Saccharomyces cerevisiae S288C: one gene and its partners. The protein of the gene in region 1 interacts with the protein of each later gene in a biochemical or structural test. Each region holds a gene or a part of one and is shown on either strand. Other genes may lie near its edges. The genes, in order: VAM7, NYV1, VTI1 and VAM3.

Evidence for each region.
Region 2: the proteins of VAM7 (region 1) and NYV1 form a complex in vitro, tested with the Saccharomyces cerevisiae proteins (9 studies listed by BioGRID).
Region 3: the proteins of VAM7 (region 1) and VTI1 form a complex in vitro, tested with the Saccharomyces cerevisiae proteins (8 studies listed by BioGRID).
Region 4: the proteins of VAM7 (region 1) and VAM3 form a complex in vitro, tested with the Saccharomyces cerevisiae proteins (13 studies listed by BioGRID).

What each region holds. Positions count from the first base shown.
Region 1 is NC_001139.9:87,881-94,058, forward strand, and holds VAM7 (Vam7p), read left to right. Parts: upstream 1-3,551; coding exon 3,552-4,502; downstream 4,503-6,178. Other genes in the region: CLG1 (Clg1p), read left to right, coding at 101-1,459; SKI complex subunit WD repeat protein SKI8, read right to left, coding at 2,174-3,367; NCS6 (Ncs6p), read left to right, coding at 4,632-5,711; Rab family GTPase YPT32, read left to right, coding at 5,912-6,178. UniProt on the Saccharomyces cerevisiae protein: Essential for proper morphogenesis of the vacuole. May exist as structural reinforcement on the surface of the vacuolar membrane and be required for maintenance against rupture by osmotic pressure.
Region 2 is NC_001144.5:324,820-330,931, forward strand, and holds NYV1 (Nyv1p), read right to left. Parts: upstream 2,597-6,112; coding exon 2,581-2,596; intron 2,440-2,580; coding exon 1,694-2,439; downstream 1-1,693. Other genes in the region: SUL2 (sulfate permease), read left to right, coding at 1-1,406; GIS3 (Gis3p), read right to left, coding at 2,911-4,419; IOC2 (Ioc2p), read right to left, coding at 4,858-6,112. UniProt on the Saccharomyces cerevisiae protein: Vacuolar v-SNARE required for docking. Only involved in homotypic vacuole fusion.
Region 3 is NC_001145.3:656,516-662,522, reverse strand, and holds VTI1 (v-SNARE protein VTI1), read left to right. Parts: upstream 1-3,324; coding exon 3,325-3,978; downstream 3,979-6,007. Other genes in the region: CIK1 (Cik1p), read right to left, coding at 994-2,778; YMR196W (uncharacterized protein), read right to left, coding at 4,181-6,007. UniProt on the Saccharomyces cerevisiae protein: t-SNARE found in various SNARE complexes involved in multiple transport pathways. The composition of the t-SNARE complexes is specific for a limited number of v-SNAREs and therefore allows only the vesicles carrying the matching v-SNARE to fuse.
Region 4 is NC_001147.6:517,403-523,486, forward strand, and holds VAM3 (SNAP receptor VAM3), read left to right. Parts: upstream 1-1,718; coding exon 1,719-2,570; downstream 2,571-6,084. Other genes in the region: PIN2 (Pin2p), read left to right, coding at 240-1,088; YOR105W (uncharacterized protein), read left to right, coding at 793-1,119; GTPase-activating protein RGS2, read left to right, coding at 3,951-4,880; 2-isopropylmalate synthase LEU9, read left to right, coding at 5,625-6,084. UniProt on the Saccharomyces cerevisiae protein: Required for vacuolar assembly. Provides the t-SNARE function in a late step of the vacuolar assembly. Required for homotypic vacuole membrane fusion, autophagy and fusion of biosynthetic transport vesicles with the vacuole.

The DNA of each region.
Region 1 (6,178 bases):
ACTACAAGGAATTTTTTTTTTCTTTAACATTATTAAGACAGTTATTGAGTTAATTCGTCTTCAGCCCCCCTCCCCCCAACAAACCCCCCTTCATATAGAAATGGCTAATACTTTCAAGTATTATCCTGAAACGATGGGTAATTCTAGTGGTTATCCAATTAGTTTGCCTTTTCCGAAAGGTTCGGCTACTTCTGCTGTTAATGTTGCTAGGCAACTGCCTAAATATTTAGGTCATGTTCCCTCGCAATCAGTTCATACTCAGTTGCCATCCATGGCTTCTTTAGGTTACTTCAATCAGCCAAGTTCTACTTACTATGCTCCTCCTGCACCACTTCAACAGCACCAGCAACCACCTATCCTTCCCCCTCCGGGCCTAATGTACACTAGTAACAATAACAGCAACGTTATTCCTCCTCCTGTTCAAATGATTCGGGATGGACAACAACAACCACAACAATCTAACCAAGTAAATGGGGGCGTCAGTGAGAACTTGGACTACGATATTTCTATAATGTCAAAATTTATCATGGAAAATGCCTTTGTTGCCTTCAACGCGAACTATAGTACTGATGACCAGACCACTGATCTTTTTTTCAAGGGCATATCTTCTGTGTTGAATGCCACGAGATTGCCTTCAGCTACTATTTTTTTGGCTATAGATTATCTTTTCAAGTATATCAATAAATTATCTAATGGGATACATTCAATTGGTGGCAATTCGATCAATATCATTTATCAAAATACTATGATTGCGTTCATATTAGCAAACAAGTTCAACGATGACAAAACTTTCACCAATAACTCATGGTCACAGGCAACAGGAATACTGATAAATGTTATCAATGATTTCGAGAGACAATGGTTGAGAATATTTAACTGGGAATTGTATGATAGTGCTTTTCTTTATTTTGAGTTCGTCAAGAATTTTGAGATTTTCAAGCAAAATCAACTCAAACCTGCTGTAGCGGTTCCTACGTTATTATCTCCAATTGTCAACGTTGGTGATACGAGAAACGTAAATTTCAACTTGAAGCCTACTTCCACAAACAACCTATTATCTCCAGTTTCCAATTATGAAACCCCCATGCTGATGCCGCATAACATGTTTTCATCACCATCTTATCAGAGTAACTCAAGGTCTGAATTTTCTAGTATGAATGGTTATTATAACTATTACAACTATAATCAGCCAAGATTGAATTACTATCAACAATTCCCCAATATATATTCTTCACCAATTTCGGAAACTCAGTTTGATTACGACTTCTACAATTTCAGTAGTCAACAACAACAGCAACAACAAAAACAACACTCACTTTTACCTGCCGCTCCACAATTACCTCCCCCTCACGTCCATAATCAGTCTTACGGTCATCATCTTGGCTGGAAGTCAATGGATGACACAATAAATCATTCAAGATTTGAGCGAAACTACTTTCCGTATTCGGCAGTGTATTAGTGAAAACTTTTTTTTCCTTATTTTTTCTTTGATCCCATCGAATTACTTTCTCTTTTGCCCAGGATCATCTTTCTAATCTATCATTTTATTATTTTCTCTCATGAGAAAACAGAATTTCGAAACAGATATAATAAAAAAATTGAAAAATTTGAAAAAAAAAAATCTAGAAACATATTTTCCTAAAATGAAAATCGGAAGCTAACAAAATTTTTGAAAAACGAAATAAAGAAGAAAGATTATTATTATTACTTTTTTTATTAGTACTCCATATGGACCTCTTAGGTGAGTGATCTTATTAAAAAAAATAAAAAAAATAAAAAAATATGAAAAAAAAAGAAAATTAAAAACTAAACAAATTTTATGACAGGAATAAAAACTATAAAAAATGAAAACCAAAAAAAAAAAGCACTGGATTTTTAACATCTTGTCCTTTTCTTTCCCTTTATCATTTTTTCTCATTTACTTTGTTATTAATTTTTTTTTTCAAGTTCTCCACATATACATATGTAAGAATTGAGTCTATCTCTTTCTAATATTTAAGAAATACATAAAAAAACCAATTTTTTTTTTTTATTACTAGCAAATTTATTTTTGTGAAGTGAAATTCATACATTGGCTTATTAAAGGTATTAAATATTACTGAAATTTTATGAACCAAAAAGAATAATGGATGATTGTAAGGTTACATGCAATATATCAAGATATTACTAGAGATTATTTACCGCCAGCTTCTCTAAACCACCTGATGCTTCTATCTAAACAAACACAGCATAAACTTTCATTTAAATCAGCTCCCATACCAGATCTCCAACCTTTTTTCAAAAACTTCACGTCAAAGACACCAGGTTCAGCTAAAGAATCTCCATGTTCATCAACAGCTAAGATATCCTCTTCAATTTCAATATCATCACAATGCATATTCAATGTAGTGATTCTTTCCTTTGTTTTTACATCCCAAAATCTCAATTTACCATCCCATCCGGCACTGCATAATGTTTCACCAGAATCATTAAACGATAGACTCATGACCCAGCTAGAATGTGCAAATTCACCCAGACTTGCCTGCGAGCTATGGGTTGGTACGGATAAGGAGCCTATTCTTTCACCAAATTCAGTTTCATATAGAGTGATGCAACCAAATGAATTTGAATCGTGAGCAATGGCTAATAAGGATCCTTGAGGAGAAAATTTCACCGATCTGATGGAATTCGAATTATTAATCATAGAATGCTGAGATTCAAAATTGTACAACGGGCGTAATGTAGATAGTTCTGAAATTTGTACTGTTCCATTATTAAAACCTGTGGCAATTAGTCCTCGTTCAGAGATATCCACAGAAGTGGCAAATTGACTTGGAGTCATAGGCGATTCGACAGTGCCTTGTAATTCTAACGTGGGGCTCCAATTTAGTGTTAAAGAATTTGACTCATCTGCAAACGGGTGAAACTTCCAAATGTAAGTGGTCCCTTTGACGTCTGTAGCAACCAGCCTATGGGAAAGTAGTCTGTCATTTGAGGCACCCCATTTTAATGCCCAAAAGGAATGCTTTTTCATGTCTGAGTCTAGAAGATCCAATTTCTCGAATATAACTTTTTTAGTCTCATCTTCTCTAGTGATACGATAGAAGAGTAAATCGCCAGAAAATGAAGTGGTAGCAACAAGGCATAATTCAAATGCATCTCTCTCAATAGCTTGCAAGACATCGACATGGTGCAATCCGGACTTATGGACAAAGTGAGAATATGACTTATCTTTTGGATTTTCATTATCTAACAGCTTATTATCCCACACCTTTAAGTAACCGTCACCTGAACAACTTACCGTAAATGAATTGCAAGCAGAAACCGAGAAAATATCAGCGTCATGAGCTTTACCTGCATTTGCTGTGGCAATAAACACTTTGGACATTTTTCCAATACTTGATTAACCTCTTTTTCGTTTCTTGTCTTTATTTTAGATTTGTTTTAATATCGCCTAATTTTTCCTTCTTTACTTTATATTTTTTTTATTTTTCGCCTAAAGATTTGTATCAATTAATTAGCCAACAAAAACAAAAACAATAAAGTCATATAAGGGTTGATAATTGATATTGATGGCAGCTAATTCTGTAGGGAAAATGAGTGAAAAGTTAAGAATCAAGGTGGACGATGTTAAAATCAACCCCAAGTATGTTTTATACGGTGTTAGTACACCAAACAAGCGCCTTTACAAAAGGTATTCCGAGTTTTGGAAACTGAAGACACGATTGGAGAGAGATGTAGGAAGCACCATCCCATATGACTTCCCTGAAAAGCCCGGTGTATTGGACAGGAGGTGGCAAAGAAGATATGATGATCCGGAAATGATCGATGAAAGACGGATCGGACTAGAGAGGTTCCTCAATGAATTGTATAACGATCGTTTTGATTCTCGATGGAGAGACACAAAAATAGCGCAAGACTTCCTGCAGTTGTCAAAGCCAAATGTTTCTCAAGAAAAGTCACAGCAGCATCTAGAAACTGCTGACGAAGTGGGATGGGATGAGATGATAAGAGATATTAAATTGGATTTAGATAAGGAGAGTGATGGCACACCCAGCGTGCGTGGAGCACTAAGGGCACGTACGAAGCTCCACAAGTTACGAGAGCGACTAGAACAGGATGTGCAAAAGAAGTCTCTTCCAAGCACGGAAGTGACTCGTCGCGCCGCTCTATTGAGGTCCTTGCTCAAGGAATGCGATGACATTGGTACAGCAAACATAGCTCAGGACCGTGGACGACTTCTGGGGGTTGCCACCAGTGACAACTCTTCAACCACGGAAGTTCAAGGAAGAACGAATAACGATTTGCAACAGGGGCAGATGCAAATGGTGCGCGATCAAGAACAAGAGTTGGTTGCACTGCACCGAATTATCCAGGCACAACGTGGATTGGCCTTAGAGATGAACGAGGAGCTGCAAACACAGAATGAGCTACTTACAGCACTTGAAGATGACGTCGATAACACTGGTAGGAGGTTACAGATAGCCAACAAGAAGGCTAGACATTTTAACAACAGTGCTTGAATTAATGAGTTACTATCCGGGTTACAAATCCTGAGAGTATATTTGTACTAAAAAAAAAAATTGTAAATCTAGTAATTGAAAAATTTTGGCGATGAGACGATATGGTAAGAGTAAAGCAAAGGAACCGTCATGTCGTTTACTGCTCCTTCAGATCCCGTCAATAAACCGACAAAAGTGAAGGTATCACAGTTGTGTGAACTATGTCATTCAAGAAAGGCTCTCATTAGAAGACCCAAAAACCTGTCTAAACTTTGCAAACAATGCTTCTGCCTCGTGTTCGAGACGGAGATCCATAACACTATTGTAGCAAATAACTTGTTTCAGAGGGGAGAAAAAGTAGCCGTGGGGGCCTCTGGTGGTAAAGACTCCACGGTGTTAGCGCATATGCTGAAGCTTCTGAATGACCGTTACGATTACGGCATTGAGATTGTACTGTTGAGTATTGACGAAGGAATCATCGGATACAGAGATGATTCCTTGGCCACGGTGAAAAGGAATCAGCAGCAGTATGGCCTTCCTTTGGAGATTTTTTCCTTTAAGGACCTCTATGATTGGACAATGGATGAGATTGTATCCGTTGCTGGTATAAGGAACAGTTGCACGTATTGTGGTGTTTTTAGAAGACAATCATTGGACCGTGGTGCTGCAAAGCTGGGCATATCTCACGTTGTCACCGGCCACAATGCAGACGATATGGCAGAGACAGTACTAATGAATATCCTACGTGGTGACGTAGCAAGATTGGAAAAATCGACTGCGATTATCACACAAAGTAGCGGCTCTCCCATCAAGAGATCAAAACCATTTAAATATTCTTACCAAAAGGAAATTGTCCTGTATGCGCACTACATGAAGCTGGATTATTTTTCCACTGAGTGTACCTATGCCCCAGAAGCGTTTAGGGGCACTGCGAGAGAATACATGAAGAATCTGGAAGCAGTGAGGCCCAGTTGCATTATAGACATCATCCAAAGTGGCGAAAATTTGGCATTAAAGGCTAAAAAATCTAACGCTGGAAAGAGAGTCGTCAAATTTGTTGACGGCAATAGATGCGCTAGATGTGGATATCTGTCGTCAAATAACATTTGCAAGGCGTGCATGTTGCTGGAAGGACTGGAGAAAAGTAGAGCCCAAGTGGCAATCGAGAATGACACTTCTGCCGATGGTGCAGCCTTGAAGCTGAGAGCTCTTGAGAAACTCAGCTTTTGACATATATATAGCTCGCAGTAGAAGAATGCAGCGTAACATAATATAATATAATATAGTACGGCGCGCCCTCCATTAGAACGCGCAACACAATAAAGACAAATAAAAGAATCAGCTATAAAGCTGGCCATTGCATGGTTCGCGCTGGAAAGAGAGGAAAAGCGTGGTGATAAAGAGCGAACCAAGCATATTGTTTTCCAAGAATGAGCAACGAAGATTACGGATACGACTACGATTATTTATTTAAGATAGTTCTTATCGGCGACTCCGGTGTGGGTAAATCTAATCTGTTGTCGAGATTTACAACCGATGAATTCAACATTGAATCCAAATCCACGATTGGCGTGGAATTCGCTACAAGAACCATTGAAGTTGAAAACAAGAAGATAAAAGCACAGATTTGGGACACGGCAGGTCAAGAACGTTACAGGGCCATCACGTCTGCGTACTACCGTGGTGCTGTAGGTGCA
Region 2 (6,112 bases), on another chromosome or scaffold:
TTTCGAAGTCTTTTGGTAGAATCAACGACTATAAAGTCGTCCCCGACCAAGAATTGATTGCTATTGGTGTCTCGAACCTTTTAGGTACTTTCTTCAATGCTTACCCAGCGACTGGTTCCTTTTCAAGGTCTGCTTTGAAGGCTAAATGTAATGTCCGTACGCCGTTATCTGGTTTGTTTTCGGGTTCATGTGTTCTTTTAGCATTATATTGTTTGACCGGCGCATTCTTTTACATTCCAAAGGCTACCTTATCTGCAGTTATCATTCACGCTGTATCTGATCTTTTGGCCTCTTATCAAACTACCTGGAATTTCTGGAAGATGAATCCATTGGACTTCATCTGTTTCATTGTCACCGTCCTAATAACGGTATTTGCCTCTATTGAAGATGGTATTTATTTTGCCATGTGCTGGTCATGTGCAATGCTCATTTTAAAAGTGGCTTTCCCAGCGGGAAAATTCTTGGGTCGTGTGGAAGTCGCTGAAGTTACTGATGCTTACGTCAGACCGGACTCCGATGTGGTTAGCTACGTGTCTGAAAATAACAATGGTATTTCCACTTTAGAAGATGGTGGTGAGGATGACAAGGAAAGTTCCACCAAATACGTCACAAATTCCTCCAAGAAAATAGAAACAAACGTTCAAACAAAGGGCTTTGATTCTCCATCTTCTTCGATTAGCCAGCCAAGGATAAAATACCATACTAAATGGATACCGTTTGATCATAAATACACAAGAGAATTGAACCCGGACGTTCAGATTCTCCCCCCACCAGACGGTGTTCTTGTTTATAGGCTATCAGAGAGCTACACCTATCTCAACTGTTCCAGACACTACAACATCATAACCGAAGAAGTTAAAAAAGTTACCAGACGTGGTCAATTAATTCGCCACAGAAAAAAATCTGACCGTCCATGGAATGATCCTGGTCCATGGGAAGCACCTGCTTTCTTAAAGAATTTGAAATTCTGGAAGAAAAGGGAGAACGACCCTGAATCCATGGAAAACGCGCCCAGCACCTCAGTCGATGTTGAAAGAGATGACAGGCCATTGCTGAAAATACTATGCTTAGACTTCTCACAAGTGGCACAGACAGACGCTACGGCTCTTCAATCATTGGTTGATTTGAGAAAGGCCATAAATCAATATGCAGATAGGCAAGTTGAATTCCACTTTGTGGGTATCATTTCACCATGGGTGAAGAGAGGTTTAATTAGCAGAGGATTTGGTACTCTGAACGAAGAATACAGTGATGAATCCATTGTTGCCGGTCATACAAGTTATCACGTCGCCAGAGTACCTCAAGGCGAAGAAAATCCTGAAAAATATAGCGTTTATACCGCTTCAGGAACAAATCTACCTTTCTTCCATATCGATATCCCAGATTTTGCTAAATGGGATATCTAGCCAATGCATTTACAATGGACATGCAAACATTTATATCATCTCTTTTTTTCTATATTCCTAAACCAAAAAGTTTTCCCCCTTAAAAGTATACATTTAATATCATAATGAGATAGACACTGTTTATATAATAAGAAATAATAGGTAGGATGGTGCCATCGTGAGCATATACATACCTATAAATATTTACCTTATTTTTATTTTATTTTTCTCTTCCTCTCAGGAACAAAAGAAATACAACCGTTATTAATGTTATTGTCGTGGGACAGCTCCCCTTTTTTTTTATTTACTTACCACAGATAGAAAAACATGAAAGCAGCACTTACAAATAGTATAATAGTGAAAGTTAATAACGTAATATTTTTGACCTTCTGCCACCACATTATTTCTTTTATATTGACCGCTTTGCGCCTAAATTTATTACTGCTGCTATTTAGTTGGGAAGTTTTATCCACCAATAAAGAAACTCTTTCTTGTCTCTCCAAGAACTTGTCGATGTTATCGTTCATTATCTGGATGACGTCCTTTATTTGGTCTTCGGTGGCATCCCCGATGTCACTTATAGTGTTCTGACCATTCCCATTACTAGATTGGCCATTTCCAGAACTATTTAAAGTTTGGTTACGGTATTCGACCAGCTCTTCATGGAAAGAGTCTAGTATTTGACCTACATGCGAACTTAAAAGTTCGTTTGTAGCGTTGGACTCGTATTCCTGCAGCCCACTTAGTATCCTGATGGGCAAAATCTTGGGCATATCTACTAATGTGAAGCAAACGTACACAGTTTTGGGGTCATGGTCATCCGTGGAGTAGAAACAATCGAATCCGTCGATGAGATTCATTGACATCTTGGTAACTTTGTTCCCCTTGATCGGAACTACTTTGGGTAATACCATATCCATGATCAAATTATGGAAAATGACCGGCGTTATCTGCTCGTTTGCTGAAGTTATTGTACCATAGTTTTCGTTTTTCTGGAACGGCTGGAAACAACTAGATATTGTTTCACCATTTTTTATAACTTCCACATAACTTACTAAGACCATATGCAAAATCAAGCAAAATGGAACGTTAGTCTACTGAATGTAACATAGTAAAATTATGGCATGGGGGGATGAGCATTCGCATAATCCCTTTTTTAAACATTTGTTAATTGTGTAGAAATATTTATACATACCATTAAAGCGTTTCATTTGGTAAAAATATAAAAGTCCAATGCTCTAACAGCTTAATAAATTGTCGCTTTTCACTCTGTTCTTCAAATTTAATAGCTGTTGCTCCAACTTAGTCAAGTGCTAGAAAATTCATAGAGGGGCTTTTTTTCATCATTATTGTGACCTCATTTTTTCTTTCTTCGATCGTTTGAGGCGAATATTACCCGGGCGCTTGGTGGTAATGCGTTGTTTTAAATATTATATATAATGAATGTGGTGGTAGAATATATAGTTTACTATTTTTAGATAATGCAAATGGGTGGGGTGAAGGCGATGAAAAGGTGGGGGGTCTATCAGAGAAACCTGCTGTCACACCAGCCCTTTACGACATATTGAATCTCTCTCGTAGGTGCGGAAGTCTTATTGGTGACTTTGCCTAAATTTAGTTTTCCGCATGGTTTGAGCATTGTGCCGCCATTGTTGAACCATGGCTTGACGTCTGAGTGTACGCGGACCAAAGAACTTTTCAAATCCGCCGTTGCATGTTCGCTTGCGGATTCACGGCCTTGCGAAGGTTCCGTATTGCTTGTCGTTGCAACAAAGTGCAAATTCCAGGGGGTAGAATCGCCAAAAAGATCATTTCTTGTTTCATGGACCATGTCAGACCATAATTTTTTCCTAGTAATTAGGGCAAGCTTAATATCGTTCGTAGAGACATTTGGCTCCTTTTTGATTTCCAAAGACCGAATTTCGGAATACGTTAGCTGCTTCAACAGATGGTCATCTACTTCGACTTCGGGTAAAATACTCTTCCTTTTACATGATGTTTCAATAGAGTATAACTTTAGGAAATTGGTATTCAAACTTTTTTGTCTTATTCTTTTATTGGGCAAGAGCTCGCTAGATGCAATCGAACCGTCGGTCTCGGGCGATGGTGATGCAGATGGCCATTGTTCTAATTCTACCAGGTCATTTTCGTAAATCATGTTTTCTGTAGTCGATTTGCTCCTACTCTTCCTTCTTGAAGTCTTGCCGCCTTTCTTGTCGATGATTTGGAAGTCCACAGAGGTCGGACGAAGTTTGGCATCGGACGACGCAGAAACCAGTGAAAGGGCAGAGGACGATCGCGGACGCCGTTCGTATACGGGAGGAAAGATATCGACTAAATCCTTAACCTCCCAGTCGTCGAACAAATCGAGATCATTTATGTTTATTATTTTCATTTTGGGCACGACCGGCTCAGCCAGTACCTCATCGCCAATCGCGGGGGTCTGCAAATCGACAGCGTCAGCAATATCATCTGTCAAGGGATGAAGTTTAGAGGAGCTCAATGAAGAACAGTCGCTTTGAGCTTCCTCGGAGAACTTCCTCTTTATGCTCTGTGTTAAGTGGCCCTCATGTATGGGGCATTCGCCCGATAACGTCTTGGCGGAATTTGTTTTCCTAACTTGCGACATGACCGAGCTTAAGGACGGGGTCATCAAAGATGAGCGATTTTCGTTCAGCAGTTCGGAATCGTCTCGAGCCTTCAGTATTCTAGTCCTCTTGAAGCTATTCCTCTTGGTTAGTGTTCTAGTACGTTCAGCGCTTCCTTGACCATCGAACTGCGGCTTAGTGGAGTGGAAATAAATCTCATCGCTCACCGTCCTATTACTTGTGGCGGTCTTGTTCATGCTGGCGCTGGCTAACTTGTTATTCTTCTTATTAGTAGCGGTAGCGTAAAATGACTTGGGATAAAATACCTTTGATGAGTCGCTCCATGAGTGCAATGCGCCATCATCACGTATGCTTTTGATGAGGCAATGTTCATGCACATGAGCATCGTGCATTAGTGTGTGATTTGTGTTCACGTCCAGCAGCATTCTATAATTATGTCTTGTTGAAAGTGTTCTGTATGTTCGTGTCTATCCAAAGAAACAAGTAATTGAGAAAACTAGCCATCAAATACTTGTGAAGAAGCGAGTTTCCATTCTCTGTTTCACTCGTTTGGCGTTCTCACCATCCCACTTTTATTTCATTGGCTTTTTTAACACAATAAGGCGCCTTCAGCACCTTTGCCGCGCATTAAGGATGGCCACTGACGAAAAACCGGATAAAAAAAGACGAAAAAATGCCGTCTGACCCTAGTCAGGAGCCGCCTCATACACCCTAATTATTTTGGCGCTAAGCCCTAAGCATCATTATTACCCGACATGAAGCGACAGAAGCCCTACGGATGTGCGGCTGGAAAAGAAAGTTTCATGAAGAACCAGTTGATATATATTTTACTATATACTTTTGCTGTGTATTTCTATATGAGGCTAGTTGGTTGGTGGGAACTGGAAGTGAAAGTTCTGTTCTTTAGGGTGCAGCGGTTGCTGTTGCTGTTGCTGTTGCTGTTGCTGCTGTGGTTGGATTGATGCTTGTGATGTTTGTGGTGCCTGTGGTGCTTGTGGTACAGTTTTGCTGCCAGTTTGCTGCGAGTATGTAATTATGGGGTGAGCGGCATTTACATTAGGTGCTGGATTGATGGCTGGATTTGTTTTTTCGTAAGCGGCGATACTAGGCGTTGTGCTACTTGACATGTTTGCAAATGCATTATTAAACACTGGAGGTGAGACAGACTCGGTTAGTTCCCTTTTCTTTGCAAGCTCTTCGAGCCTTTTCTTTTCTTCCTTCATTTTTTTTCTTCTTTCACGGTCTTCCTGTTGTTTTCTTTGTTTGGCCCTTATTATTTTCAATTCAGGCACAAAAATGTTGCGCAGCTCAAGTTCCAAGTCCCTGATGCACCAAGCGCAGATAAAAGTGGAGCATTCAGACAGCGGTTTGCGTTTATCAGTAGGTCTTGAAGACTTGGTGCTGGGTTCAAGTGTGGATTGGGGTCTGCGAGAAGACCTTCTATTGCCGTGCGAATTTCCCATTATGATGACGCCAAAATCACGTTGCGACAGCGTGTGCTGTGGGGATTTTGTGGTTGAAGATATAAGCTCTATAATTTTTGGAGGTTGGCATTCCCAATGCTGCCACCTGTAACAATGATCACAGCATATCAATGGGCGGTTATTGAAGAGGTCAGTCTCCGTGTCTTCGGTGATAATCATGGGCGCCAGCTCTGGTTCGCCCGGACATTGGAAAACAGAATCTTGGTTGTCGGGCTCTTGCTGCGGAGTAAAGATCCCGTAGTTGGCAAGCTCATCTAGCTCTTCCTTTGTTATGCAGAAGTCACTAGGCAATTCAGGGACGTCTCCCGTCTGTAGTGGCCCAACAGTTCCAGGAATTGGTGGTTCCACCGGGATTATACTAGATTGAAAGTTAGGGCCGTGATCAAGAACTCCGATATCGATTTCATTTAAGGGATTGTCCTCCTCCCTGCCCAAAGACGTTTCAAAAAACGGTGTACCAGAACCACTTCTATCTTTGAGCTCGTTACGCCTGGTCAATTTTTCATCTCTATAATCTTGATCGTACAATTGCCACAATTGGTTCCAAAGAAGATCTTTTATCTTTTTGATTTCCTTCGACACTAGCTTGTTTCTGTGCCTTATAAATTGTTCTCTTTCATCTAGTTTTTCAAAC
Region 3 (6,007 bases), on another chromosome or scaffold:
TTCTTCTATCCTGGGGAGATGGGATGAATAAATTGACAATAACCAGGAAATAAATTAAAGCGAACGAAGAACTCCTTGGCCAATTTGCTCTTAAGTGTGCATTCAACTAAGAAACTATTGAAGATAAGCATTACCAATTCCAAAATATATTCTTATATAAAAAGAGATACTAAGAAAATATCGAGAGATTAATTGCTGCACTCGCACCGGTACCACTTGGCGCAGGAAAACTGCGGTTTCCACAGGGGACCCACGCTGCCTTTACTCCATTCTCAATCTTGCCTTCTGCAGTATCTTTTTTTTTAATTTTCGAGTCTTCGTCACTTTCGAGTTAGTCTCCCTCCCAGCCTCGACCTGGCACCATTCAGCTCAATCCAGCAAAATCGCCAAAAATGCGTCTCCGATGCTTTCAAGGTTGGAAACTAACTAACGCGGTGCGAGATTCCCTCGAAGAAGTAAAATCGCGAATTCTTCCTTGAACGCGTCTCTTGCAGGCTGAACAAAGAAGTCGCTAGTGGATCGTCACAGAATGAACACGCCCACGAGCGGGATCTGGCTCGAGTTGTCATGAATACTGAAAGTATCAGGCGCGGGGTTGTAGTAGGTAAAGAATTTCTCCAAGAGGTTGTAGGAATGGACTTGTTTACCCCTTTACGCGCGGTGTTTTCGTGGCTTTACCGCATTGGGGTATGTCCCAGAAGAGAGTGTGCGCTATTCGATTTCCTATCAGTGAAGTGTTGCGAACAAGGGAATGCTGTCGAATTAGGAAAACAAAAGTTTATTCATGCAAATTTTGTGGCACGCTACCCTAAGTTCTCGATGATGTTTGGCTGCGTTTAAGTGAGTAATTTACATCCGCCTGTTAGTCCCGTAACATTCTCTTTTATTTTGCTAGGATAATTAGGTTGATGCCACGCACGACAATGTAGCTACGTAAGTTTTTTATGTAAGGGAACGAGACGAAGTGATTGTAGCGCACAAGATCTGGCCTTCTTAATCTAGCTGAGGTAATGTTATTGTTCTTTTCAGCTTTCCCGCTAAGGCTAGAGCCTTCTCGATGTTTTCACCAGCGTTAATCTTGAAGACAAAGCACTGCTTTGTTTTAGTGAGAATATGCGAAAGGACTGAGGGAGCATCATCAAGCTCTCTATTCAGCTGTACCGTGGACATACTACCGATATATATATTCATTGAATGGGACTCTTCATCTTTTCCCAACTTGGTATCTAAAGTTAAAATGTTCATGCATTCTTCATCTTGTGACAGATCTCTAATTTCTGTTGGGTTATCTAATCCAACGTCACTGTGTTTAATACTTCCGTCAAGATGCAAAATGTTCAATGTCATCTTATAATTCTCACCGTACTGCTCAATTAACTGTTTTAGCAAAGTCTTTTTCATTGGTGCTGTGGGTTGCTGCGAAACCACTATAATGCTGCAGTTAATTAACTTGCTGATGTATTTTTCCAGGAACGGAATGCATTCGTTATATAAGCGTTTGTGATCCTTATGGATTTCTTCGAGAACTACTCTATCAAATACTTGTACCCGTTTTTCTCCACTATTCTCGCAAATGCACCGATCCACATAGTTGATATGGAATTCATCAGGCATTTGTCGTTCATTGGCATACGCAAAGCATCGGGTGTATCCTTTGATTTCTTCAATTGAAGTGGCCAGATTTTGTCGTGTGTATAATTCCTGTTGAACCTTTTCTAGTTCATTAACGTACTTCTTCTTCCAATTGTTTGCTTCTCCTTCGACTTGCTTCTTCTCCTCCTGCACTTGCGTCAATGCTTGTGATGTAGAAGCAAGCTTCTTTTTGAGAGGAACAACGGCAAGTTCCATGCTATGGAAGTTCACTTCTGCCTCTCCAATCCTTTTTTCAAAATCGTTAAACTCATCTCTACACGTCTTAATATTTTCTTTCAGTTCACCATGGGTGTCTTGTAGGTCTTTTAAAACTTTCGAAAGTCTTTCTTGCTCCCCATCTAATTCAATTCTAGCATCGTTCTTAACTTTCTTGAATATCTCGAATTTCTTGTCCAATTCTTTTTTGTAGTTTTTACACTCGTTCTCATTTTCATTCTGTAGAATGAATAGTTTCCTATTGACCTCCTCGAATTCTGTTTTAAGCTGTCGCATTTCGTCAGTTAACCTTTCGTCAGGTTTCAAATTTTCTACTTCCATTAATTTATACGTCCACTCCCTTTTGGCATTCGATAGCTCTTCCTCTAAATCGTTTTCGAACTCTTGTACTTTTACTGCATGCATAGACACTATATTTTTTGATGATAGCTCAACATTCTTTCTTTGAAGATCACATTGATTATCCTTCAAGTCCATCTCCGTTGATAGTCCATCAATCTCATTTTGTAGCTCCCTGCACGCTTTGACTTTTGCATCTAATTCTAATGTTATTGCAGGTAGTTCCCTGGCATGAATACGAACAGATTCCTTTTCAATTTCAGAAATAGCATTCAGTAGTGAATCTATGTCTTTTCTAACCTTACGTTCATTGTTCTTAACCCTTTCAATAATCTTGGGGTCCCCCCCAAAGGTTAGTTTCTTAGTATACGTAGCGGAGGTGTCATCAGTGTAGCAGCGCCGTATACCAGATCCAGAGCTGTGCAATATATTTAGCTTGTTGTTATTAGGAGTTAGTATCATATCCATTTCTCTTTTCTGAACCTTCTGTCGTTTTGTCTTTGGAAAGTCTCGAGTGACGTTGTTTGGATCACTATGAAAGGAAAGTTTAGGAATTTTGGAGTTATTCATCCTAATAATAAAGCTTATGTCAACGAGTTTCAAATGCCAAAACAAATATTAAAATAGTGAATAGCTCTTATATATACACGGTCCAACCCTATGGCACAAAATTCACTTATTTAGGCGCTTAATTATAATGTCGTAGTTGTGTTTCAAAGTTGCTTCAGCCAAACGGAAAAGCCGCCTAAATGTGTCGATCAGTGAATGAGCTCAATAACGTGTGGATATCAAAAAATAATACAGTAAAGCCTTATTCTCGGACGATATGCTCAATGGTCAACGACTGACTAGTTTTATTTTGATACGAGCTACGACAGTGGTATCTTTCATATACTAGAATCATATTAGAGAGTAAATAAGAACAAAAATGGTAAACAAACAAATATCACTATGGACGATATTACTGATCACATGACTGTCTAATTTTCAATGAAAGTTAGGAGTGGAGTAGTCGTGCTATATAGGGCAATTACTATTCTTGGAAAAGTGTAAAGCTTTACATTAAGTTGTATAAAACGAATCAACCGCACTCTTTACATTGCTGCATGGCTTACTATGAGTTCCCTATTAATATCATACGAATCTGACTTCAAAACAACCTTAGAACAAGCCAAAGCGAGCTTAGCAGAGGCCCCCTCACAACCGTTATCACAGAGAAATACTACACTGAAGCACGTAGAACAGCAACAAGATGAGTTGTTTGACCTGCTAGATCAGATGGATGTAGAAGTTAATAACAGCATAGGCGATGCCTCAGAACGTGCTACGTACAAGGCGAAGTTAAGAGAATGGAAGAAGACTATACAGAGCGATATCAAACGACCACTGCAATCCTTAGTAGACTCAGGCGATCGTGATAGACTTTTTGGAGATCTTAACGCATCTAATATTGACGATGACCAAAGGCAACAGTTGTTGAGCAACCATGCAATCTTACAGAAATCGGGAGATAGACTAAAAGATGCCAGTAGAATAGCAAATGAAACTGAAGGAATAGGGTCACAAATAATGATGGATTTAAGGTCACAGAGAGAAACTTTGGAAAATGCAAGACAGACCTTGTTTCAAGCGGATTCATATGTGGATAAAAGTATAAAGACACTAAAAACAATGACTAGAAGGCTAGTTGCTAATAAATTCATAAGCTATGCCATTATCGCAGTCCTTATATTATTGATTTTGCTAGTTTTGTTCTCAAAGTTTAAATAAGGTGGGAAAACAAATTCAATAAAAAACCTCTAGAATCTAAAGAACATGTCAAGGAACTATAGAGTTACCTTCACTAGTAATATCAACGCTACCTTACTGATAAAAAACTACTGCAATTAAATATTCTATAGATCAAAATATAGAGGTATATCGTTGGAAATATTTTTCAAACGTACAGATATTGAAGGTTCACCGCAGTTAATCAAGACACATCCTTATTCAACGGACTCATTGGGTCCATTGGGTCTATATCCTCATCTTTAGCCTTGTCAGTTACTTTCATATTTTTCACCTTATCTTTTAGCTTGCCTATAAGCTTGGTTTCAAAGTTGTGACGATCTTCAGGTACCACAGTTTCGTGAATACCTTCCTCTTCATTCATTTCCTCCATCAAATGTCTAGCCTTGTCACTTGAAATGCTGCTTTGTGGTGTCAACCCAGAATGGGTGCCCCCTATCCTATGATGGCGCTTTTCTTCTTCGGTTAAGTCCAAAATGGTGGCAGTGTAGTTTACCAAAGACTTTGCACTCTTACGTCTTGCCATTCTCTTCATTTTGGGACCTTGCTCAGAGCTCTCTGTTGAAGCGGTCGTTGCCACAGATGATCTTGGCGTACGAGGTAGTCTTACACAGGATATACCTACATCACTTATCCATTTGGCCACAAGAGCAGTCCAACCACATTGGTGTGAAGCGCCAAGCCCTCTTCCAGTATCACCGTCAAAGTATTCAAAAAATGGCACATAATCCCTGAAATATGGATCAGAAGACAGAAACTTAGAGTGATCACCATAATGAATGGCGCGCTCCCCGTTTTCGTCTGGAACAAATAAGTGAATCATACGATATCCAAGTTCTTCGGCAACTTCAGCAAGATTCAAATAATCTCCTGAACCTACGGGACACTCTACTTTGAAGTCGGAACCGTAGTACAGGTAAAACCTTTGTAATGCTTCCATTATTAAAAAGCTGGTAGGAAACCAAATGGGCCCTCTCCAGTTAGAATTACCGCCGAACATACCCGAGTCTGATTCGCCCGGCAAATATTTGACCATATATTCGACACCATTTACATTCATTTCGAATGGGTGCTTCTCATGATATTTGGAAAGAGATCTAATACCATATGGTGACAAAAACTCAGTTTCATCCAGCAAACGTGACAGTATGGCTGTTAATCTTTCCTTAGTAACTAGGGATAAAAGTAGTCTTTCTCCCACTCCTTTTTTTGACATGGACGCAATGTTTCTATCAAAGATTTCTGGACGGTTGTTCACAAACCAATCAACCCTCTTCTTGAAACCGCGGAATTGTTTTATGATACTAGGCTCTAAAGTCATAGAAGCATATAGTGGGATCAATCCCACGAGAGATCTTATTGGTAGTTGCACCTTGTGGTCACCCCAAGAGATGGCATCGTAATAAAATTTGTCTGCTTCATTCCATAGGTTTTGTTTGATAACTTCTTTACATTTCTCTCCCGTAATATCAGTAGCGTATTCAAAGGACATAGAGTCACTGATTAAGATAAAATGTTCAAAAAATTTAGAGGCAATATCTTCATAAACCGGGTTTTCTTTGGCGAGCTCTAATGCAATATTTAGCATTTGAAGGCTGAAAAAGGCCATCCAACCTGTAGAATCAGCCTGTTCAAGCGTACCGCCAGTGGGTAGTGGTTCTGATCTGTTGAAAACGCCAATATTATCAAGACCCAAAAATCCGCCCTCAAAAACATTTTTACCTTCAGTATCCTTTCTGTTGACCCACCATGTAAAATTTAACAAAAGCTTCTGGAAAACTCGTTCTAAAAATGTACGATCTTCACGGTTGTACATGTTTCTTTCGATCTTGAAAACACGATACACAGCCCATGCATGGACTGGTGGATTTACGTCATTGAAGTTCCATTCGTATGCCGGAATTTGACCGTTAGGATGCATGTACCACTCTCTGGTTAATAAATCCAATTGCCGTTTTGCAAATTCTGGATCAATCATAGCTAAAGGAATGCAGTGAAACGCAGTATCCCA
Region 4 (6,084 bases), on another chromosome or scaffold:
TCAAGATCTACTGGAACCGCAACTTCTACTCTAGAACTGGATAAAAGCCTAGAAGAACTTCAAAATTAAAGGGGCGCAAGAAAGTTTCAAATATATTACATATTTGCTACTTAGATCAAGAATAACCACCCCCGGTCGTGACTTTTTAGATTTTTTTTATCTTGTTTATTTTTAGCAAAATAACCGTTTCAAGAAAATACTAGAAATATAATCAAAGACTCCCAAGCGTATACACAGTAATGAACGTTTGCAAGTTGAAAGAAATAGTACCACTATTTCCGAGATCGTCCTTTACAGATGGTGTAGTAAGTACAGGAAAAAGTTTCCGAAGCTGGGACACCTGCATGGACAATAAAGCATGTAAAATTATTGCGATTGTTGGTATTGTTTTGGCCTGTATTCTTGTGATTTGGTTGATTGGGGGCTTACTGACATGTTTCAGGCAAGGGGTAACAGGAATAGGTCAGTTCATTTGTTGGTGTTGTCGTTGTTCTAATGACAGAAATGGAAACAATACAATGCCGGTAAATGAGGGTTTTAGTAGAGTTAATATGGGCGTGGCTCCTCCTTCTACTGTGATTTATCAGCCTATTCAACAACCTGAAAGTGCGTATTATAGAAACGATGCGAAGAATGATACATTTTACGACGAAGTCAAAACTCCCAGTAATGAGGTGTATGAATTAGAGGAAGATTTCGATTTGGAAAAACAAAAAGAGAAAACAAGGAAAAAACAACAGAAGGAAAGAAATAAAGAAGGACGCAGCCCTAGTAGGGTGGCCCCTCTAGTGTATGAAGAAGAAAATTTCGAAGGTAGCAGCCCTCAGCCGCAATATGATGCTAGAAATTCGTTTATCCAAAATGCGGCCAATACTGGTAGCAACAACGCTCATGTTGCTTCACAATCTCCAATTTTTGACATCAGCGATTATGGCGAGAACTATTATTACGATAATAATAACATCAATAATAACCTCCAGGGAAACAGTTACAATACTCCCTCCTCTAATCATAGAAGTCCATATCCAACCGAAAATTATCAATCATATCAGGGATATAAACCAAACCAAAGCGATAGATATTACTAATGAGGTAAATATATATTCCCCCTTCTTTTGAATAATCAGTCAGACATTTTAAGATCAAGAGGATTCATTGGTAGATTTTGCAAGAACCAATTAGGAATTTCTTCAGGAATAACTGTGAGCTTGCGTTTACGGAAAGGAAAGTAAAAAAAAATCTTCCAACGAGTTTTTCCTTGTACCGGTTGCTAAAAAGGTGCCTTCTAACAGGTAACACCAGAAACCGCAACTTTTAAAATGCAAATAAGGGCAGTCAATGGTGAACTTCCTCTTGGTCAGTTAGTATGTACAATAAATTAGGTTGTTTTCCTCAGGATAAAAGTGATCTATTTGTAACATATAGTTTACCTAGGTGCTGACGAGGACACAGGAAGAGCAAAACTAAGATCATACAAGTCAATACTTATTATAATCAAATGATAATATTCGTTCAGCCTCATATTCGAGTTTCACATCACAACTTTTTTTTTCGCGAGATGCGCAGTAAAAACTCTATATACATTTTTGTAGTGAATTTTGATTTTGATGTAAAGAAAGCAGCCAGGAGATTAAAGGAAGGAAAATAGAACAATAAAAAACCACGGGATCAGCATTAACAAATTGGCCAACTAATATCCACTGCAGAAAGTTGAGATTATGTCCTTTTTCGACATCGAAGCACAATCTTCAAAGGGTAACTCCCAGCAAGAACCACAATTCTCAACAAATCAAAAAACGAAGGAATTAAGCAATTTAATTGAGACATTCGCTGAACAATCCCGCGTGCTGGAAAAGGAATGCACCAAAATTGGTTCCAAACGGGACTCCAAAGAACTAAGATACAAAATTGAAACAGAGTTAATACCGAACTGCACCAGTGTAAGGGATAAAATTGAGAGCAACATCCTCATTCACCAAAATGGAAAGTTGTCTGCTGATTTCAAGAACCTGAAAACGAAGTATCAATCCCTACAACAATCATACAATCAAAGGAAGAGTCTGTTCCCTCTAAAAACGCCTATTTCACCAGGAACATCTAAGGAAAGAAAAGACATCCATCCGCGAACTGAAGCCGTGCGACAAGATCCAGAGTCTAGTTATATTTCTATAAAAGTAAACGAGCAGAGTCCTTTACTGCATAACGAAGGACAACACCAATTACAGCTGCAAGAAGAACAAGAACAACAACAGCAAGGATTGTCCCAAGAAGAACTAGATTTTCAAACAATCATTCACCAGGAAAGATCCCAACAGATAGGACGCATTCATACGGCGGTACAAGAAGTCAATGCTATTTTCCATCAGCTCGGTTCATTAGTGAAAGAACAGGGAGAACAAGTAACCACCATAGACGAGAATATCTCGCATTTACATGATAACATGCAGAATGCAAACAAACAATTAACCAGAGCAGACCAGCATCAGAGGGACCGTAACAAATGCGGTAAGGTCACCCTAATCATTATAATAGTTGTGTGCATGGTGGTATTGCTTGCTGTATTAAGTTAGTAATCTCCTTAAACGCGCATTGAGCACAGACTTTCTGGTAGACCCAATCTTATCTATTTACGAAAACAAGAGTGTATAAGAGTGTATAAGTTATTTTTTGCATTTATTCTTTTGTGGTAGGGGGGTTTCTTAGCCGCTCTTTTTGACTCAAAATTTCCTTTGATGTCTAGTGATAGTGCACTTCCCATGTGCGCAACCTGTGTTTTTTGTACTCCGTAGTTTAAATGCAAGGGCTCGATATGCCCTTTTTCCTTTTTCTACTTTGTACGATCTACACTGACCTTTTTTCAGTAGTCCGTAAATCCCCACGAATTTCTACTAGCGACTGCCAATAAAAAAAGGATTGTGCTACTGTATGTAAAAAGTAAGAACCCTGTTATTTTCCGTTAACTGTCATTTGCCTTACTGTTGCTTAACGGCCGCCAACCGTTATCAAGAAACAAAACATTGTATGCGTTGTCTTCTAAATGAACCTTGTGGGCCCTGATAAACATAAGAACGTGTCTGGCTCGGAAGTATTTATCTTATTTCAATTTTCGCTTTTGCAGAACATCCTTGCCTGTCACTAAGATAAGGACAGAGCGTGGATTAATAAAAATGGCAGAATTTCTCGGCAAAAAAAGAAATCATGCATAATTACCTCGATGTGTACGTTATTGCGGGCACGATCCTGTCGCTACGGCCTGATAGTAGCGGCTATTCTGCTGGCGAAAATTTTCAGCAGTTTGAAATCTTACTGTGGCGTCCCGGTCCAGCCGAGATGACATCTAACTAAGAAATGTCCGCTGCGGCACACCCACGCCGTTGCAGCTAAAGTCGCGCACCAAGCACAGACCTGCTGGAGAATGAGGAACAAGGTTGCGTTAAATGCTTCGGGAAGAACTGCCGAACCGAACCGCTAGAAAAGTGCGCAGGTACCCCGATCGAAGCGGCTCGGCGCTCATTTTAGCACAATCAGAAAAAGGAAATTGAAAGAAGAAAAAAAAAACATAATCATTAACAATTCTTTTCTTGAGATATACGTATATATGACGTCGTCATGTAGTATCTCTTTCGGGATACCCTTTGTAAACGTCCCTTTGTGGAGATGAAAAAAAAACTTGCTGAATAAAGATAGTTAAGGCGCTAGTAATCAAATTAATAACATATTATACCACATCACATCTATACCATTTCCGTTGCACATTGCTTGAACCAGTTGCCAAAATTGACTAAACGGATTTTTACAAAGTCAACGGTGATCACTAAAAGCAAACAACTCAAGCGACGAGGCAAGGAAAGAGAAGAAAAAAAAAATATTACATTGGCTATATAAATATCAAAACATCTTAGGTAAGGCACCTTTGATACATAAAACGAAGAAAATTCAGCACATGCCAGATGGCGAGTGTACCAAGTCTATGCGACATACTGATACCGCTAGAAAAGAATAGTCGCAGCGACGGCGATGCTGAAAGTAGCAATACAGTGCTGATTCAACTGCGAAAAGGGCATCACGAACGGATGCGTTCTCCTTACACAATACAAAAGTTTTACAAATTTCTAAAAAGAGCTCATTGTGAGGAAAATTTAGAATTTTTCGAAAAAGCTCATCAGTTCCTCCAGCTTAAGCAAAACAGGAGTATTAGCGAGGAGAAGCTCTTGGAAGTTTGGAACAAGTCGTTGTACATAAAATACATTGCCGTGGACTCCCCCAAAGAATGCAACTTTTCACAGGATACTAGGGAGATATTTGAGAAGTGCTTTGCTAACAATGAAGTACCTGCCGACGTAGACGTCCTGTGTGCCATTAGCCATGTGATGGGCCTATTAATGGACGGGTATCACCGATTTGTGAGTTCTGTTAATGAGAAAAAGTACTCCGCCACATATGCCCACAATGACTCTGCTACGGAACAAGATCTCAAAAACGAGTCTACAACTTCTTTTTCGTCATTAGGCGTGGAGGATATTTCTGAAGATAGAAATTCGTATCTTAAGAAGCCTGATATCAATGGTTTGTCAACTATCATTCAAGAAACGTCTGCAAACACGACCAATGAGTCGCAATGCAGCGATCGCACTTCTCGGCCAAGCGAGTCCTCTTCCTCACTCAACACTACCAGCTCGACCTACAAGAATACCAGCACTAGAAATCTGCAAAAACCGCAAAATACAGGAATTCTCAACTCGGGGAAAGGTTTATTGCAAAAACTTAACTTTGTTAAAAAACGGAAATCTTTCAAACAGCCTTCAGGCGTCATTTGTAGCCATTATAACAGCAATGTTCAAAACCGTTTGAAAGGACAAAACAGTCATCAACAAAGATAGCCTCTTCATCATCTGTGGAGACACAAATATCTTCATCCTCATCGCCATTACCCAATAAAGCGATCGGTAAAAATGAAAAAAGCGTTGAAAACGGCTTTAAAAAGCTAAATTTGCATGATATCAGTTAATCAAGATTAGAACTTTGATTAAGTAGAACAACGATAGAAAATCCGCTTTTCTGGCTAGTTCCCTCGTTTCATATTAATTCATTTCACACAATTTACTTCATTTCATCACGCTCATATTGTTTGTAACTTTAGTTTTTATTTAATTTTACGTACATGACACTGCATATAATTATTTCACAGGCATTTAAAATAAGAGCATTGGGCACAGTCTTCTTTTATATGTTGTCATATTCAAACACTAAACATTTATCTGTATAGTAATTAATGTTAGCTCTTCCTTCTGCATGGCGCTTGTTATATACTTCATTCGTCTATTTTGGTGCCGCGCGCCATCATGGTCCGGTAACGGTCGTAGTGAATGACTCATATTTTTCCATCTCTTTCGGCCTTGCCAAAAAATGAAAAAAAAAAAAAAAAAAAAAAAAAAAATTAAAAACGATGTCCAGAATCACAACTACAACATAGTTTTGCCTCTTACTGGCTTGATTGGAAGTTAGCTGTTAAATTTCAATAATGCCTTACTTTACTCCACGAAATCACAATCCTTGTTTTCGGCTTATAAGGGTCTTCTCCTTAGGATAATACTATCGGCACATTATCATTTAGCCGCGTAGCCATGGTAAAACATTCGTTCATAGCGCTAGCTGAGCATGCTAGTAAACTAAGAAGGTCTATCCCACCCGTCAAACTGACTTATAAAAATATGCTACGGGACCCATCGGTAAAATATAGGGCGTTTGCTCCACCAAAAATGGTCAAGAGGATTTGGCCTGACAAAACTATTCAAAAGGCTCCACGTTGGCTGTCTACTGACTTGAGGGACGGTAATCAATCTTTACCGGACCCAATGTCTGTGGCTCAAAAGAAAGAATATTTCCACAAGTTGATCAACATCGGTTTCAAAGAAATCGAAGTGTCTTTCCCCTCTGCATCTCAAACAGATTTCGACTTCACCAGGTATGCTGTAGAAAACGCTCCAGATGATGTTGGTATTCAATGTCTTGTCCAATCTAGAGAACACTTGATTAAAAGAACCGTGGAAGCATTGACTGGTGCTAAAAGGGCTACCATACATA